Ovis aries: one gene and its partners. The protein of the gene in region 1 purifies or fractionates together with the protein of each later gene. This does not show direct contact. Links are inferred from orthologs where the notes say so. Each region holds a gene or a part of one and is shown on either strand. Other genes may lie near its edges.

Region 1 (3,568 bases):
GCTCTCCTGGGTTCCCTTACCCTCCTGCTCTCCACCCGGGCACCCTTTCCCAATAAAATCTCTTGCTTTGTCAGCACATGTGTCTCCTTGGACAATTCATTTCTGAGTGTTAGACAAGAGCCCAGTTTCGGGCCCTGGAAGGGGTCCCCCTTCCTGCAACAGTTGGTGGAGATGGGAATGTGTGCGTGAATGAAGAGCTTCTAGCCCACCTTGGCAGGACGGCATCACACACAAACTAACTCTTTACAGGAGCTAGGCACTGATACAGTGCTCTTTCCAGCTCTCTGTGGCCCTACTATGGAGAGGGCACAGGCTACATTGTACCCGCACACGGGCGGGCAGCCGGCAGAGACCCTGGCCAGGCCTCTGTGGCCCAGTGGCTGCAGCACCAGCCTTTGTTTAAGAAGTCCAAGAGTAAGAACTACACAGCCCAGACCCTCCAGGGGGACGCCGCCCCTCGCCCTGGTAAGGGTGGCCTCAAGCTGCCAAAGGCATCCTCAAGAAGAAGGCATCGACCCCCTCAGAGGGGGCAGTGGGCAAGGCAACCTGGAAATTAACAGGCAACCTAGACTCAGCCACGGGCCTTCCTCACTGCTTCTCTGTACTCATTTCCCCTCTAGAGCTACCTTCTTGGTTCCACGGGGCTGAAGACATTGAACCCTCAACACACTTCACTTGCCCACTGCCCACATTCAGCCCTCCCCATGGCTCAACTGAAACCACCTCAGCCTTCTGGGCTGGGATGTGGGTCCTGGGAGGCAGGGAAGAAGGCAGTCTCCCCCTTAGGGTGCATCCAGCTGCATCTCAGAGCCTTCCCGCATGGGCAATACCCCCTCTTCAGCTGAGCTCCGAGCAGACCCTCAGTCCCTGCTGGCCGCCCTCTGTCCCCTCCGGGCAGTCCAGCAGAGAAAAGCAGCTAGTCCCCAGGGGGTCCTGCCTCCAGCGCCTCAGGCCTCGGCTTCCGGGGCCCTCCAATGGGGGTGCATCCAGCCCCATGAGGTTGTCCACAGACACAGAGCCCCGCAGAGGGGGCTCGGGGAGCCGTTCGGGCAAGTCCAGCTGGTCGAAGGACTCAGAGGACAGGATGCTATCCTCACTCACAGCCCCCGAGGGGTGGCTGGCCCGGGCTGGAGGGCGTGGGGAGGCCAGTTCATCCAAAGAGCCGAAGGCGGTGGGCGCTGTGTGCTCCAGGGCCGCGTGCGAGAACTTGCCATTGTGTTTGAGAATACCCTTGCGATGCGGCGGCCGCCCCGAGGCTGGAGGGGGCTTGTGCTCCATGGTATCCCCACTCACAAACACGTTCCCGGCATCCGTATCCCCACTCACAAACACGTCCCCGGCATCCAAGAGCTCCCCAGACTCGCTGGGCTCAGGCGAGGAGTAGTAGCCGGACTCCCGCTGGCGTGCCTTCTTGAGGATGCCCTTCTTGGGGAGCGGCGGGCCAGCCTGGCCTGGGTTGGCGGGACTGGGGCCGGGCTCAGGGCCCTGTGTTGCCCCCTCTGCGGGATTTGATGTCTTCTTCTTGAGAATGCCTTTCGGCAGCTTGAGGCCACCCTTCCCAGGGCGAGGGGAGGCATCAGTGGCCGGGGCCCCCTGGAAGGTCTGGGCCATGGCGTTCTCCTTGCGGGACTTCTTGAGCGAGTGCTGGCGCTCCAGGCCAGGGGCGAGGGCCCTGCCGCCCGGCGCCTGCTGCTTCAAGAAGCTGCAGACCTTGGCGCCGTTCTCCAGGAGGGGTCGGGAGGAGCGCCACAGCCACTGAGCCACGGAGGTCCGGCCGGGGTCGCTGCTGGGGTGCCCGCCCTCGTTCAGGGCCCCCTGCTCCCCGACACGGGTGGTGTAGCCCCAGTTGACCCACCAGTGGCTGGCCACGTCCTCCAGGGTGGCCCGGCGGGTAGGGTTCACCATCAGTAGCCACCGGATTAGGCCACAGGCATCTAGAAGGGGAGAGAGAGGCTTCAGCTCCGTAGCCACAAGCTCGGGCACCCACAGCATCCCTTCTGGCTCACCCCATGGATGCTAAGACGGGGCTCCCTCCCAGGTCAGCTGTGCCCCCAGGCAGGCTCCCCAGTCTCCAGAACCGCAGGACCACAGCCCTGTTTACAGGTCTGCTCCTTTGCTCCAGTGAAATGCAGGCCTCTGGGGGTGGAGGCTATGCTGCTCAAGAGTAAACCAAGGTCCTCACACCCTTCTTCTCACCTTACACATTGTACATGAAAGGACAAGATTTCTAAGGACAAACGCAGTAGGCAATGAGACAACTGTGGCAGAGAGGATCTAGACTAGGCTTTAGGAAGCACTTCCCAAATAAGCATGCCCATAAAGGAAGATTTAGCCCTTCCTTCCTTGCAGGTCACAGACACAGGAGGCAGGGAGATGAGAGCAGCTACACTGGGTTGCCATCTTCACTTAGTGAAAGCGAAAATCGCTCAGTCATGTCTGACTCTTTGCAACCCCACGGACTGTAGCCCACCAGGCTGCAACTGCAGACAATCCCCTCAGTCCACGGAATTCTCCAGGCAAGAATACTGCAGTGGGCTGCCGTTCTCTTCTCGGGGGGATCTTTCAGACCCAGGGATTGAACCCCAGTCTCCAGCTTTGCAGGCAAATTCTTTACAGTATGAGCCACCAGGGAAGCTTCACTTTGCGTCACTGTTTAATTCCTGCATCAGGAATTAGCAAAGGACACCCAGGGTCTGGATGGGAATGCCCACATCCCTCACTCACCAGAGGGTTTAGGAGGCTGCCGGTAGGCCCCGTTGCTGATCTGTTTCACCAGTGTCTTGTGGTCCTGCCCATCAAAGGGCATGGAGCCATGCACCAGGATGTAGAGGAGAACGCCCAGGGACCAGCTGTCCACCTGAGGGAGAGACGGGGTCAGCCAGGAGGTCCTCATGCCGCAGGGCGAATGGCTCCAGGCTCGCCTTCAGTACCCATGAGGGGGAACCCAGAGCCCAGAGCATCCAGGGACCACCTCCTTCTAGCACCCAGGGGCAAAGAGGACAATACTGTAGAAGGGACTGGAAGTCATGGAGAGAGGCGTCACCTGCCTCTGCTTGGGGAGGCTGGCCGGGGGCTAGGAAAGGCAACGGGAATGCAGAAGGTGTGGGGCACAGAGCCACGCTGTCAGGGGTCAGGGGTCAGAGGTCAGAGGACTTGAGCGCTCATGCCAGTTTTGCTACTCCCAGCTACAGAACTGGCTAGGCACTGCTTTGGTGGGGAAGTGAGTCTTGCAATCTGAGAAAGGGAATCATTAGAAAACCAGCTCATCCCTCTCTCAAGGTCTAAGCCAAGAGATTAGGAGGCCAGGTGCTCACCTCTGGTCCTGTGTAGGGCTTTCCATTGACGATCTCCGGCGAGGCGTAGAGGGGGCTCCCGCAGAACGTCTGCAGGAACTTGCCTTGGTGGTAGAGGTTGGAGAGGCCAAAGTCAGCGATCTGTAGGATTGGGTCAGACACGGACAGGGTTAGGGTTAGGGTTAGGGGCCTGGACTGTTTTGTAGCTCCTGGTCTGCCCCTCTCCAGACCCTGAGGAAACACAGGTCCTGGCAGAAGGAAAGGGTGCCCATGGC
Region 2 (3,568 bases), on another chromosome or scaffold:
TTCTAGGACCCAAGGGCTATTTGTGGGACCACCAACGCTGCAGTTATTAGCAAAATTCCCACCAGTTTAAAATGTATCAGATTAAATGTCAGAAGGTTTATGATAATCTTGAAGTTTGGGAACAATTTGCTGGTGATGGTTGCTGCACCCTCATTTCAGCACCCTGCAGCTAGCCCAGATTTCAAGTTGTGTGTCTTAAGGATTGCATACTGGCAGTATCCCATCCCCTTCCTCTTCCCGCTTTCCCAGTCCAGTCCTCTAACTATCACTTCCCCATGGTCCATTAGTACACTTCACCTCAGCTCAACTTCAGAGCTACAAAAGGAGAGTAAGGTATACCATTAACTGGGAGAAATAGGGTGGGAGTGGTGGGCAGTGAGGTAATCCAGTACTTAAAATAGATTGTAGCATGAATTTCACCACAATCTCAGATAACCGTAATATTTTTGTTCCAGGGTGTGGGATGTAAATACAGGTGAAATGCTGAACACATTGATTCACCATTGTGAAGCAGTTCTGCACTTGCGTTTCAATAATGGCATGATGGTGACCTGCTCCAAAGACCGTTCCATTGCAGTATGGGATATGGCCTCCCCAACTGACATCACCCTCCGCAGGGTACTTGTCGGACACCGAGCTGCAGTCAATGTTGTAGACTTTGATGATAAGTACATCGTTTCTGCATCTGGGGATAGGACTATAAAGGTAATGAGGCATTTTTCAGTAAGTCCCCACCTTAGAGTAGGGGAGTTCATATGGATATCTTCTCAAGGACAATTTTATATTTAACCCTCACTGTAGAATACTTAATATTTATTTAAATCAGATACTAGTTTATGTAATGAATCAGATAGATCATGTGACAATTTGGGTTAGGTTTTTATTCCTGTAAATAATGGTGAGTATGAAAAAGGCAGGGGTAATTTTAGGTTCAAGATTTGTCTACAAGGCGAGATTGACCCCATAAGAGCACATCAACCTGAGGATTTCTCATATGATAGCAACCAGCTACAAATTAGCCCTATATTACTGTGAATTAAACTTGTCATCTGGGATTTGACTTGGATTGGTTTAAGACATTGAATTTCCCCTGCTAGTTCAGTCCCATTTTCTGCTTCCCTAAAACTGCAGTTGCCATAGATTTTACTAATAAAAGCACCAAATCAACTGCCAAATGCCATTTCTGTTTCAGGTGTGGAACACAAGTACTTGTGAATTTGTACGGACCTTAAATGGACACAAACGCGGAATTGCCTGTTTGCAGTACAGAGACAGGCTGGTCGTGAGTGGCTCATCTGACAACACAATCAGGTGAGCAGCAGGTGCCCTTGCCCAGAAGGGATTGCTATTATCCTGCCATTTATTGTTTGTGCACAGACCAAAGGAATTGTCAACTGTGTTCTGTTTATAATAAAACATTTTTCAGTTTTCTGTGGCTTCTTACAGGTTAAAAGTTTGCCCCAAGCAGAGAGACGGCACAGCAAAGCCTTTTGTTGATGTGTTTCCTTCCTGTAATAGTTTTATCACCAGATAGACCTATTTAAAAGGAACTTCTTGAATGAGGAAGTGAGCAAGAGAAATAAAAATGGAGGTTGAAGGCCCTTCTCTAAATTTCTCCTGTCTGCAGTTGATAAGTGCTAATAAACAGCTAAAGGGCTTTTCTCTTTGCCAGTGTTTTTAAAAAAAGAAAATAGATTTGTTCCCCTACTAGAAGTTGTACAATTTTGGGTTTTTTAGCATTACATAATGGGCCAGGGACCTACCAGTCTTCGAAATTATGAACAACTTATGAAGAATCCTCAAATTGAAGTACTTTTCGGTGTTTTCCCTTCATGAAAATGAATGACACACATATGCATAGAATTTGAAAGATTTATCAACCCTCTCCTCTCCTTCAAAGAAGTGCTAAGGGAATGAAAAAGCCATTGAAAAAACGACAGACAGACATTGTTATATCTAAGGAAATTAGCATTCCTAGAAATCATGTGGATTGGTCAGAAGGCATACATAATTTAAATTGGTATATAAAAATTTTTGAGAACTTACTTTGCATTTCTATTATATGAGAAAAACTGTCCTGAACAGTGGGGTGAAAGCTGAGGGTGTCCTCAGTGATAGAGGTACACATATTTTGTGAGAGCAGGATGTCACCGTTCCTGTATCTCATTCTTATTTAATTGTGGTTTCCAGAAATATTATGTTTCTTGGCTTGGCCCTTTCCTTCTTAGGCAACTGTGTACATTAAATTCATCTTTTATATTCCTTGGTGACCCTGATTATAGGTTTATATGAAGCTTGATGCTTTAAAAATATTTACAACATATTTGAACTTAAATCGTACATTTTTCTGCTTCTATGGCAGAAAGTAAATAAATTACACTGAAAGTAATATATTTGTATATGAGTGTTGATTGGTTTTTATATTTTGGATATTTTAAAAGACATACGATGTATGTTGTTATAACATTCCAAGCTTAGAAAAGAATGCATGGAAATTCACTCCACTCAATGTTCTCTTTCAGATTATGGGACATAGAATGTGGTGCATGCTTACGAGTGTTAGAAGGCCATGAGGAATTGGTGCGCTGTATTCGATTTGATAACAAGAGGATAGTCAGTGGAGCCTATGATGGGTGAGCGTGCTGACAGGGTTTTTAAAAGTTCTCTTAATCCCCCCTGCCTTAGAATGTTAAACATAGCCTTTCCTTGTCTCCAAAAGATTATAGATATCACAGAAAGAATCTGATACAGTATTCTTGTGTCTAATCCATGTATTCACATCTCCTTTGTTCACTCTTTTCCAAATAATCTTCGCAGTCATTTAATTATACTTGTTTGCTCATGATTTTCATTAGTATTTTGGATTTTTTTTCATATATTTATTTTGCCCTATAAAGCAGAGAACTGGATAAACCCTAGTATATCAGGATATGGATATAAAATAGTGACTTGTTAATAAAATTGAAATGTTGGAGGATAGTATCTTTGGAGGGGACTTAGTATACTGCTGGCATTTCAGTCACAGTGCATTAAATAATCTTTACTTTCCTTCAGTCTACTTTCCAGTGGTTACAGACTCCGTTCATGTTGTGGATGGATCCCACATCCAGCGACGCTAATGAGCACATAGTATATTCTTACAAGAGAGAACTCATTTATGAAATGCTGTCTGTCATTTCTTCTCATCAGGGTGCCTGATGTGGAGGACAGGAAGGCCACAGTTCAAATATTGGCAGCTTTTTAAAAATATCAGAAACTAACTTACAACTTTATCTTAGTTTACGAGCTGGCTATACTTGATTCATTAAGACGACTCAAGCAGCAGTAAGTGTTAACAGACCCATTTCCTCTGCTTTGAGTCAGCCGTCACTGTCAGACCCTTGGGAAGTTGTTGGGGGTATGACTACATGTTTCAGCTAAGTCCAAGGCTGTATTTTTCTTACTGCCCTGGTTTTGATCTGTACCCTTTTCTTGGGTTTTGTCTGTTACTTACCTTGAGGATACAGGACATAAAATCGATTCATAGAAGGGCTAAACTTTTCTTATTTAAATATTGCTTATATCAACT
Region 3 (3,568 bases), on another chromosome or scaffold:
TTGTTTTTTCAGCTTCCTGAAGATCAGTCAATGTTACCCCCTGCACACGAAAAAAGATATACTAAATATTAAGTTAAAAATTAAATGTATTAAATTAAATATGAATGTATTAGAAGTCAAATATGCATGTTTAGAACTGGTCTGCAAATTTAAACAGAATTTCTACTTAGCAAGTCATATTCACTCTATGAAGAATCATCATGAGCAAGCACAGCAGTATGTACTGGGAAAGAAAGAAAATATATGCAAGAAATTGTCTATTAAAGAAATTAACAAGATAGCACAGGAACTGACCGTATGAATATAAATATTCGTAAGAAGTTGAAAGAAGGAAAAGCCAATATATACACTCTTTATATATTAAAGTTACATGTATTTATGAGTTTTTATATATGTAGATGCACAAAGAGAAGATTTCAGTAGGGTGGTAATTTTTGAAGGTTAAGTCCCCAAAAGGATAGATTGAATTTCAAGACGTAAAGGTACAAAGACAGAAAAAACATGTCAAGATCCTACAAAATACAGTTTAACTTGAAATGTAACTAATGGTAAGGATCAAATAGTTTAATCTGGACTTTGGAGCCCCTGTACTGCACAAAAGGGAAGATAGAAAGAGATATAAGAGACAGAGTCAGACGGCAAGGAGGTAAGAAGATGATAATTAGCTGGAGTTGACATTTTTCTCATACTTGCCACATCAGCTTTTTGAAATACCTAACATAAAATGCTTATTTCCCACCCCTTCCCAATACGCAGAATTATTTAATAATTATAAGACATCATATATGATTCATTTTTAACACTAATCAAATACTCTGAATCAGACACTATATTAGGAATAGAAACATAAATACTCAAAAGAGATATACAAAGGCATACAAAACATGCCTTAACAGTAGTAGCCATATGTAATATCAGATGAAATGTAATTAGATAAAATGTAATATTAACAGCACAGCCATATTTAAAAGGCTACAGGAGGATTACTAAAACTATTATACTTTAAGATTCATTCAAACTATAAACTGAGATCAAAATTTGCACAGAAATGTGAAAAGGGGAAACATAATTCTGAACTTTAATGTATTACACACATTAAATATACCTGTGTTGATCTTCTAGACTGCCTTGCTTGTCTAGATCTTGCTTTTCTTTGGGATTCAGACTCTTCATCTCTAACAGGAGTGAGGTATGATCTACAGTAATAAATAAAAATCGTCAGTTGGAAATACATTACCTATGAATGTAATCACACATGAATGTACATAAATGAAACATTTAAGTTTAACATTTTAATGGATTTTAAAAAAGAGTTATCAGAAAATGGTTACACCCACTCTGAAATTCAACAATGCAGTTTGATAGTTTTTTAGACTGTAACTACTCATATTAACATATATTTTTTAAAGGTTTTCCTATCCACAGTTTTGTTTTCTCAAACTTGTAATATCATTTCTCTTAGCCCCTTTCAACATCATCCTAGATAATATGTGAAGTTACATGGCTAAACTCTAGACTGTCAATCTTTTTATGGTAACATCATTAGGACTGAATGCAGTTTGTTAGGATGTGAGATGACTAGTGAAGAAGCACGACTCCCTGCACTACTGTCATCCTGCACTGACTAAAAATATTATGGGCGGACATCATACTTTTGTTCATATTTAAAGTTCTCTAAAAATTCAAGTGTTGTCATATATGAACTTTAAAATCAGCATCTTACTCTTGGGTCACTGATTTTCTGATACAGAAAATAACATTTGGTACTATCTTTAACTAGATTTTATATTTTAAATCTAAGCCTAGCAGCGGTGGCTGCGCGGTGCAGGAGTGGCTGAGAGGAGCTACCCCTCGTCCAAGGTCGGGGCGGTGGCCAAGAGGAGCTACCCCACGTCCAAGGTAAGGAGCAGCAGCTGCTCTTTGCTGGAGAAGCCGTGAAGAGATATCCTGGTTCAAGGTAAGAGAAACCCAAGGAAGACAGCAGGTGCTGAGAGGACGTCAGAGGGCAAACGGACTGAAACCACAATCACAGACAACTAGCCAATCTGAACACATGGACCACAGCTTGTCTAACTCAATGAAACTAAGCCATGTGCTGTGGGGCCACCCAAGACGGACAGGTCACGGAGGAGAGTTCTGACAGAATGTGGTCCACGGGAGAAGGGAATGGCAAACCACTTCTCACTGTTCACGAGAACCCCATGAACAGTATGAAAAGGCAAAAAGATAGGACCCTGAAAGATGAACTCCCCAGGTCAGTAGGTGCCCAATATGCTACTGGAGATCAGTGGAGAAATAACTTCAGAAAGAATGAAGGGATGGAGCCAAAGCAAAGACAACACCCAGTTGTGGATGTGCCTGGTAATAGAAGCAAGGTCTGATGCTGTAAAGAGCAATATTGTATGGGAACCTGGAATGTTAGGTCCATGTATCAAGGCAAATTGGAGGTGATCAAACAGGAGATGGCAAGAGTGAACATCAACATTCTAGGAATCAGTGAACTAAGATGGACTGGAATGGATGAATTTAACTCAGATGGCCATTATATTTACTACTGTGGGCAGGAATGCCTAGGAAGAAATGCAGTAGCCATCATAGTCAACAAAGGAGTCTGAAATGCAGTACTTGGATGCAATCTCAAAAACGACAGAATGATCTCTGTTTGTTTCCAAGGCAAACCATTCAATATCACAGGAATCCAAGCCTATGCCCCAACCAGTAACGCTGAAGAAGCTGAAGTTGAATGGTTCTGTGAAGACCTACAAGACCTTTGAGAACTAACATCCCCAAAAGATGTCCTTTTCATATAGGGAACTGGAATACAAAAGTAGGAAGTCAAGAAACACCTGGAGTAAGTGGTAAACTTGGCCTTGGAGTACAGAATGAAGCAGGGCAAAGGCTAATAGAGTTTTGCCAAGAGAACACACCGGCCATAGCAAACACCCTGTTCCAACAACACAAGAGAAGACTCTACACATGGACATCACCAGATGTTCAACACTGAAATCAGACTGATTATATTCTTTGCAGCCAAAGATGGAGAAGCTCTATACAGTCAGAAACAACAAGACTGGGAGCTGACTGTGGCTAAGATCATGAACGCCTTATTGCCAAATTCAGACTTAAAATGAAGAAAGTGGGGAAAATCATTACACCATTCTGATATAACCTAAATCAAATCCCTTATGTTTATACAGTGGAGTCAAAAATAGATTTAAGGGGCTAGATCTGATAGACAGAGTGACTGATGAAATATGGACGGAGGTTCGTGACATTGTACAGGAGACAAGGATCAAGATCATCCCGAAGAAAAAGTTAAAAAAAAAAAAAAAAAGGCAAAATGGCTCTGAGGAGGCTTTACACATAGCTGTGAAAAGAAGAGAAGTGAAAAGCAAAGGAGAAAAGGGAAGACATACCCATTTGAATGCAGAGTTCCAAAGAATGACAAGCAGAGATAAGAAAGCCTTCCCCAGTGATCAGTGCAAAGAAATAGAGGAAAACAACAGAATGGAAAAGACTAGAGATCTCTTCAAGAAAATGACAGATATCAAGGGAACATGTCATGCAA

What was found.
Region 2: the proteins of NUAK2 (region 1) and BTRC purify together in Homo sapiens (co-immunoprecipitation; 3 studies listed by BioGRID and IntAct, counting the BioPlex papers as one, with this or other methods). This does not show direct contact. The link is inferred for Ovis aries from reciprocal best matches to the Homo sapiens genes NUAK2 and BTRC.
Region 3: the proteins of NUAK2 (region 1) and PPP1R12A purify together in Homo sapiens (affinity purification with mass spectrometry; 3 studies listed by BioGRID and IntAct, counting the BioPlex papers as one, with this or other methods). This does not show direct contact. The link is inferred for Ovis aries from reciprocal best matches to the Homo sapiens genes NUAK2 and PPP1R12A.

Annotation. Positions count from the first base shown.
Region 1 is NC_056065.1:2,924,837-2,928,404, forward strand, and holds part of NUAK2 (NUAK family SNF1-like kinase 2), read right to left. Parts: intron 3,435-3,568; coding exon 3,315-3,434; intron 2,858-3,314; coding exon 2,725-2,857; intron 1,935-2,724; coding exon 838-1,934; 3' UTR 1-837. UniProt on the Homo sapiens protein: Stress-activated kinase involved in tolerance to glucose starvation. Induces cell-cell detachment by increasing F-actin conversion to G-actin. Expression is induced by CD95 or TNF-alpha, via NF-kappa-B.
Region 2 is NC_056075.1:22,067,529-22,071,096, forward strand, and holds part of BTRC (F-box/WD repeat-containing protein 1A), read left to right. Parts: intron 1-455; coding exon 456-705; intron 706-1,192; coding exon 1,193-1,311; intron 1,312-2,522; coding exon 2,523-2,633; intron 2,634-3,568. UniProt on the Homo sapiens protein: Substrate recognition component of a SCF (SKP1-CUL1-F-box protein) E3 ubiquitin-protein ligase complex which mediates the ubiquitination and subsequent proteasomal degradation of target proteins. Recognizes and binds to phosphorylated target proteins.
Region 3 is NC_056056.1:115,837,657-115,841,224, forward strand, and holds part of PPP1R12A (protein phosphatase 1 regulatory subunit 12A), read right to left. Parts: intron 1,197-3,568; coding exon 1,106-1,196; intron 41-1,105; coding exon 1-40. UniProt on the Homo sapiens protein: Key regulator of protein phosphatase 1C (PPP1C). Mediates binding to myosin. As part of the PPP1C complex, involved in dephosphorylation of PLK1. Capable of inhibiting HIF1AN-dependent suppression of HIF1A activity.